Solanum lycopersicum: one gene and its partner. The protein of the gene in region 2 interacts with the protein of the main gene of each other region in a pairwise test. Links are inferred from orthologs where the notes say so. Each region holds a gene or a part of one and is shown on either strand. Other genes may lie near its edges.

What was found.
Region 1: the proteins of cleavage and polyadenylation specificity factor subunit 2 (region 2) and flowering time control protein FY interact in binary tests that used the Arabidopsis thaliana proteins (3 or more experiments, as listed by UniProt). The link is inferred for Solanum lycopersicum from reciprocal best matches to the Arabidopsis thaliana genes CPSF100 and FY.

What each region holds. Positions count from the first base shown.
Region 1 is NC_090807.1:57,365,155-57,368,982, reverse strand, and holds part of flowering time control protein FY, read right to left. Parts: intron 2,892-3,828; coding exon 2,802-2,891; intron 351-2,801; coding exon 265-350; intron 1-264.
Region 2 is NC_090802.1:3,729,459-3,733,286, forward strand, and holds part of cleavage and polyadenylation specificity factor subunit 2, read right to left. Parts: intron 3,671-3,828; coding exon 3,578-3,670; intron 1,915-3,577; coding exon 1,816-1,914; intron 1-1,815. UniProt on the Arabidopsis thaliana protein: CPSF plays a key role in pre-mRNA 3'-end formation, recognizing the AAUAAA signal sequence and interacting with poly(A)polymerase and other factors to bring about cleavage and poly(A) addition. Required for antisense-RNA-mediated gene silencing.

The DNA of each region.
Region 1 (3,828 bases), on a different chromosome or scaffold from region 2:
CTGTGCTGAGGCTATTTAAGCACTATAGTTTGGTAGTTCAACGTGATAGTCAAACTAAGACTATTACGTGCCAATGAAAAAAAAATTGATAATCTTTCAAGAAATTTCTTTAAAACGAAGCTGATTTTTGCCCAGGTCTACAAAGCCCACAGCCCCCTTATCTAAACATATGAACAATAAACTTGTATACAATCTGAAGTACACTAAAACAATAGCATAAAAAAAATAAAAATAACAACTGCATGAACAGGAATTAGTAAACACCTTGTTGTCCTAAATTGAATTTATCACGAGCGGAGTCCCCAGGCCTATTTCTGCACCAGAACTTTGTTGTCTGATCATTACTACCGCTGCACCAGCAAAAAGACTGATTAGTTACCCGGTTAGGTTACTCCAGTTGTACGCTTTAAAGTGAGAAATTTTATTCCTGTTGGCAGAATACCTAGTTGGGAAGGCCTTAGGATATCCACAGTACTAGGGAGGATAAGAAACAAAATAACACAGCAAGAAAGGCCAGAACCAGCCGCTAGAAGGCAATGACATACAATTTACAGTACAAAACACACAATTCCCCTCACACACACACGAAGATAGAGAGGGAGGGAACAAATTTTATTCCAGCCTGTGGAGGCTGTGCAGGATTTGAATCAACATAAACACAATGAGGCTTAAAATGCAAGTAAGCACCCACAAAGTCACCTGCCAAGAAAGGTTTAAATGAAATGACAAAGTCTATACATAGATAGACTATACCAGCTTGCAAGTTTCATCTGGTGGACAATCTGGAAAGAGAGGAACTTGAAATGTTGAGGACAGTAGCCATTCAATACAGAAGATCAATTGAATTGCATTAGACTCTTTTTGTTTTAGGTGTAAACAGATTTACATAGAAGATATAGTTTCAATCATAGAAATCCTCGATTTTGCAAGGACAGCTGACAGTATTCTTCCTTTGTAAATATGGTTTTAGTACACAAATGTAATGGTTTTGATATACACAACTATTACTATCTCAAAATAACATAAAATGGAGGAACTATTACTATCGCTAATTGTATTTGTACATATGCTTGATAAGTTCTGTAGAAGGGAGTTAGAGCCAACATACATGGAAAAAGAAGCTACTAAAGTGAGGGCCATAGTTGAGATGAGCATACAACAAAGCTACAGACAACCATCTACCCTATGATTTAAATCTGCAGCAGACTTCTTATGGAAACATAAATTTACTGGATAAAGAAAAAGTTGAGAGCCCGCACAAAAGAAACCTTCACATTCAAGAAAGAATTAGTACAGCAGAAGCTTTAATCCCCACAACCATCGACTGATAGACTTCTTAGAGTGGATAGAAGGCAAACCGAGAAGGGACAATCTAAATCCATAGCCATTATGTGGAAAGAATAAACATATAAGATTACAATTAACTTTCAGAAGGACAACTGGCATGAGGTAAGCAATCTGGAAATGGCCTTTCCAGATATCTTCAACTAGTTCTTCATCAGCAAAGGTCTATAGCAGAAATGAGGACACTTCAAGGATGGAGCATCATTTTCAGAAGACAAATCAATGATTGGGAATTGCTAAGAGTGGCTGATTTCTTTAGTGTAATTGAGCAGTTTGGGCTACAGACAAGTGGAGATGTATTATGGTAGAAAGGAAACTATTCTAGGCAAATGCAGCTTACAAAATGATGGATCACTCCAACCAACCCAGTTGGACATGGAAACACATCCTGGAAGACTAAAGTCCCTCACAAAGTAGTCTATGTTGTGTGGCTACTAGTTAAAGAAGCAGCCCTTACACTGGCTAATCTGTCGAGAAGAGGGATTCCATTATGTTCAAGATGTTATTTGCGTAAAGAAACAGCAGAGACAGTTAACCGTTTCTTCTACATCGTAATTTCACGGCACAATAATGGAGAATTATTTTAAACCTCAAAAAGACATCCTGAATTTATTTTTTTTGAACTTGGTAACTTAAAAGACATCCTGAATTATTCCTGAAAAGGTCACAGAAGCTCTAAAAAGTTGCGAGTAAACAGGCTTACGGGCAAAGGATGGGAGTAGATGGAGAATTGTCCATGCCTGCATTTAGTGGACTATTTGGAAGGAGATAAGATGCTTTGAGAATATAAAGAATGGTGTGCAAAATATCAAGTTGAACTCCATCCTACTTTTGTGTTTTTGGTTTAATCAGATATACTAAAATAATAATATTTCTATCATTGATGTTTTAGATTCATTATAGATAGGGGACAAAAGAATTTGAGAGCTCTAATGTAAATATGGTTTCAGTACTACCTAAGTACTGTTTTGATTCTTTTAATATATAATATAATACACACACGCACAGAATTACCAGTTTAAAATAAAAATAAAAAACTGAAAAGAGCAAAATCAAACAGAATTTGCAGAAGGTATTCTATTAGAAAATTGGAAAAGGAGTACTTTGGGAATGCTCTGTGTTCTTACTGGGGCTCTGTGTTCTTACTGGGGCATAGAATTGCAGGGTGAATACTAAACATGCTTTTGGAATTAGCTTCAGCTTATATTGTCATGGTAAAGCAGCAAATTCAGCACCATATAGATCCAAGCAACAATAAAATGAAAAACCTCAAAAGAATATCCAGCAACACCCAAAATGAATTGACCAATATATTTAAATATGGGACAAGGCACAGAAGAAAAGCACACCAGTTATGAGAAGAATCCTAACAATTGTTTTCTGCAACTGGAAAGCAGTACTAGTGTAATAAATGGCACATAACTACAGAGCTGCAGTTCAAGAAAATGCAGTATAACCTGCAAAGGAGATAGCCAATGGGGTGCCACGCAAGATCCCAAACACCAGTTTCATGTGCATTTGTGATTTCTACTTGAGGAGCTTCATGCCTGTGGGTAGAGCATCAAAAAGACGAGAGAAAAATATATTAGAACTTACCCAATCACTGATAATAGGGGGATTTGATTTGATTAAAAGTTTCATTTTGCAAGTGAAATCATATTCTGGACTATCTCATCACATGTTTGGATGACAGACTAAGTAGTCCAGAGAGCTCTTTTATTCCCCAGTCACAGAAACTGTAGGATGATACTGCACTGCTCAATACTAGGTAGAAAGAACTTATTTGTTTGAACAGAAAGGGAAAAAAATGTTTTTATTCAATAACTAGGGCAAATAATGCATATGACCAAAAAAACAAGCCTCCCTCTTACAGGAAAAGCAAATAAAAAAGGAATTTGAGTGGAAGGAGATGATTTTTCCCAGAACGATCCTGAACTCATCGCATCGAATTGACACCTTCCTAGGAGAAAAGGGCAATTGCTCAAGAACCATAGCACCAGATTCACATACAACAACCATGTATCCCCACTGTTTTGGTTTTATTTAAGATCAGAATGCTTGATGAAGTAAAGATACATGCTAAGAGGAGCATTAGAAGTGGAAACAAAGTTCCTTCTCTTATCTACAACTTCTTGTTGCCTGGAACGGTTGAAGTATTTCACAAAGATTAGAAATAAGTAAGATCATAAAATTGATTCAAGTTAGTTTAAGTACATCTATCTCTTTTTAGAAAAGGGCAAGTTCATATTTTAAACTTTCATTCACTCTTAACCTAGACTTATTATCCCATAAGTTTCTTGATAAGTCTAAGCCACTAGCTATGACATTCATCCTGAATTGTCCTTTGACAATCATCCCAACTCGAATCCAGCCAAAGAAGTGGAAGGAGTACCACACTTCAATTTTAGTAAATGGTTGCAAAAGAATATAAACAAAAGAGTAATGTTATGACAGAGCAATTAGCAACACTTCCTCAACCGATAG
Region 2 (3,828 bases):
CAACCATTTCATTGATCACTAGGTCACATCCTCTTATCATAATTCGATGCATCACTTCTTTTTTTTCAAATGGAGGACAGAATGGATTCAATTAGTCCCTTGCAGACGCTATTACCATTGCTTCCACAACTATAACCCTCATTTCCAGAATTTTTCAGACTAAGGATAATCAGTCATCATTTTAGCTTTAAAGTGAAAATAAAAAAACTAAAATCAAAGTCTTTGCAGGAAATTTAAGTCAATTATGTGAGACTTTCAAAAATTTCGACTCGAATTGTTCGCAATACAACATTGGTGAAAAAGATATCCTTTGCTTCTTTAAGTAAAAAAGTAGCTACGAGTGGCACTGAGGTGAAAAAGATATCCTTTGCATCTACGATAAAAGCTTGGTCAATAGCAGTGAACACTTAATACATGTGAGCTATAGGTCTTCTTTCTTTTTTGCTTTCCACTTCCTCAGCAGATTGAGAACAAAGGCCAGCAAGGTTAGTTGACTCACCGGGAAAGGTTGGATAGAAATGCCTTTCTTTTTCCTCTAAAGGTGGCAAAGTGGGGGTTGGAGGAAACAAACATAATTTTCTTCTGAAGTAGTTTAATAATGTCAAACAAAACTCTCTGCCAATGTATGTTAAGCGTTTCACAAGTCTTTTTGATAAGAAATAAAAATTTAACTTGTAAGGATGAAGCTATACCACACAGAACTAGCTGTCCTTAAGCTTATGGAAGTGTTAGATCAGAAGAATAGAATCCCCAGTTTTACTAAAACAAGCATTCTCCGGTCCCACAAGTATAAAGATGCAATATCCTCTTTTTTTTTAAGAAAACCCAATGAATCACCAAAATATTTCAGGAGGAAGATTGGTCATGGAAGATGATCCGGAAAATCAAAAGTTCTTTATAAAGTGAACTGTCTTACTTGGCTTCTGGTAAAGGACGCAGCATTGACAAATGAGAACTTGGATAAGAGAGACTTTCAACTATGCTCTACATTTTTTCTATGTGGGGAACAAGCTGAGACAATCAACCATCTGTTTTTACATTGTATGTGGACAGACCAGCTGTGGAAGATGTTCGTCTGTCTGATGAAGATTAGGTGGGTGAAGCCAGGGAACATAAAAGGAGTGTTAAGCTGCTGGAACAAGGATGTCAAGGAAGCAAAAAATGAAGTAGATTTTCCCTGCATGTATTTGGTGGACAAGCAGACCAACTTGCAGAAGTTTCAAATGAATTGCTTAGCTCTATTTTATTTTTGGTGAAAACAGAAACTATTAGATCAAACAGAAGATACCTGTGATGTTGTAGATTATTTATAGGAAAACAATAGATAGGTGTTCAAGTTGTAAGTTGTAGTAATACTTGTGAAAGGGGACTACATATTTTGATGTAGTATACCTGTGAATATATAGATTAACTGTTGGCATTATCGAAAAAAAATCAGATCACTTTATTACTGGAAATTCATTCTTCAGGTTAGAAGAAAGCCTATTATCCAACTATGCCAAAAATATATTCAGAGCATGCATGAGGAATATATTTTTTCCTTTGAATACTAGTTGATTAAGAAAAGCCTGAAAGTGTGTGAATATCCGTCATAGATGCAAAATTTATCAACTAAATACTAATTACCACAGAAAAATGAGAGCCTCATACAAGAGATGGAACTGTCAACATCTTGTAAAACACACAAGAACGATTGTGTTATTACTGATATAGCTACTTATGAAAAGATGGTAAAAATGCATGAAAGAAAACATGATTCCCGTTTATATTAAGTCAGCATATTTAGTAATATCAGTTAAGGAAAGAACTTCATACAAGCTTTAAGGGCGCAACATGAGCAAGAATTGATTTGATTGAACGACCATCAGAACGACCTTCGAAGTCCATGTATAACAAGGAACACTTGACTTGGACCTGTGAAAGGAAAAAAAGGGAGCAAGAAAATTGAAAGGAAAACATATTATAAGGATGCTAATCAAAATATTCAGTAATTAACATCATGAATGTTTGCTGATGAGCAAGTGCAATCAGAAAAAAATAAATATAAGAACGAAAAGATAGCAGCACACCATCCGAATTGACGCTATAGCATGGATACTATAATCAATTTGATGTTGGTCTAATGCTGAGCGTATTGACAAAAAAATGACGAACTGCTCCAATTCTTTTGAGATAGGTGATGACTGGTAAGGCAGATTGTCTAAAAAGGACTTCTTTTTTAAGGTTAAATAGTGGATGTAACTGTATCTTTGTGACACCACAAAGGATGGATCATCAAAACTAGAGCTTCAGAATATCTGGAATACATGTCAATATCTAAGTGACATTTAACATTTCCACAACTGAAGCGACATTTTTAAGAGCCAATTTTGCAAGTAAAGAGTCAATTCAGATTCAGAGATTTTGAAGATGCATCAATTGAAAGTCAAGATGACTTCCAACTAGGACTAATCATATACCCCCTCCGTCCAATATAATGAAGTGTTATCAAAGGCAAAAAGCACAATAAAGCTCTAAGGTCCATGAGGGCTTTAAGCGCAAATAAAGCGTGGGCTTTAATGAAAAAAGCGCAAAGAGAGAAAAGAATACAAATATATATATATTTAGTCAAAGACTAATAACTATAAACATGAATGACAAATATATGTCCAAAGAAATTGAAAATAAATTATGATAAAGTGAAATATCAATTATTTAGTGTCACTTCTTCATAAGAGGCTCATTGGCAAGGAAACGTTTGCCTTAGAACCTTGATAATGACGCTGAAGCGCACATAAAGCGAGGTGAAGCGCTCAACACGTTTTGAGCCTCGCTTCAGAGCATAAGCGCGCCTTTGATAACACTGATATAATGTGAGGGTTTGAAGTATGAGTGTCAATCTGTCTAAGCTACAGAGTGAATTAGGATATTGATTTCTCAAAGTCATTGAAATAAAATTATACCCAAATACTGTAAATCACAATTTTCATAACGAGAGAATTTTTAAAACAATTGAGAAATCTTAGTCAAAAAAAAAACCGTGTGATTCTCCAAACATTGCTAAAGCCCAAAAATTTGGGACAGGGAGTAATTCAATGCTCAACAAGATATTCGAGAAAAAACATAATCTTTTACTTCTCATTTCGAAACCATCGCAGGCCTGAAGCAATTTTTGAAAAGGTAACAGCAGAGCATCAAGTGCATTAAACTTTGATAAGAAAATAACGGCCGTATTCTAGCATGGAACAGAATTTGGTTGCTCTATTCTGTTGTCATTTGTCCAATTTGAAGGGACTATTTAGTCCCTGCATTGCAACATAGAATTCTACACTAAGATGGGAAGTGGTTTTGACTTTGATAAGAAGAAAACTAAAAAAGCAAATAACAGGCCTGCTCTAGCATGATACCAAAATTAGATGAATCTATTTTAATGTCAGTTGTTTATTTTGAAGAGACTGTTTAGACTTTAGTCACTGCATTGTAATTAAGATTATACTCTCTGATATGTTAGAGCGGCTTTCAGGTAAATTCACCTTCCAGCCTTTAGCTAGAGTCTGATTAGGGTAAAAGATAAATCAAAAATCAAAGTGAAACTTACTGTTAACTCAGAAGATTCAACTTTAGAGGGTGTTGTATCAAGGATTAGGTTAGCTGATCCTTCATCAAGTTTTCCATTTAAATCTCCATCAACCTAGCAGAAGATTAGAAAGACATCAAAGTCAAGGAACTAACAAAACAATTCGCCATAAAACTTTATCTAGTTGGATGGAGGAAAACGTAACAACAAGGTACTCACGATGTGACAGAGATGAAAATTTACCAATCTAATAAGGAACATGTCCATGAATT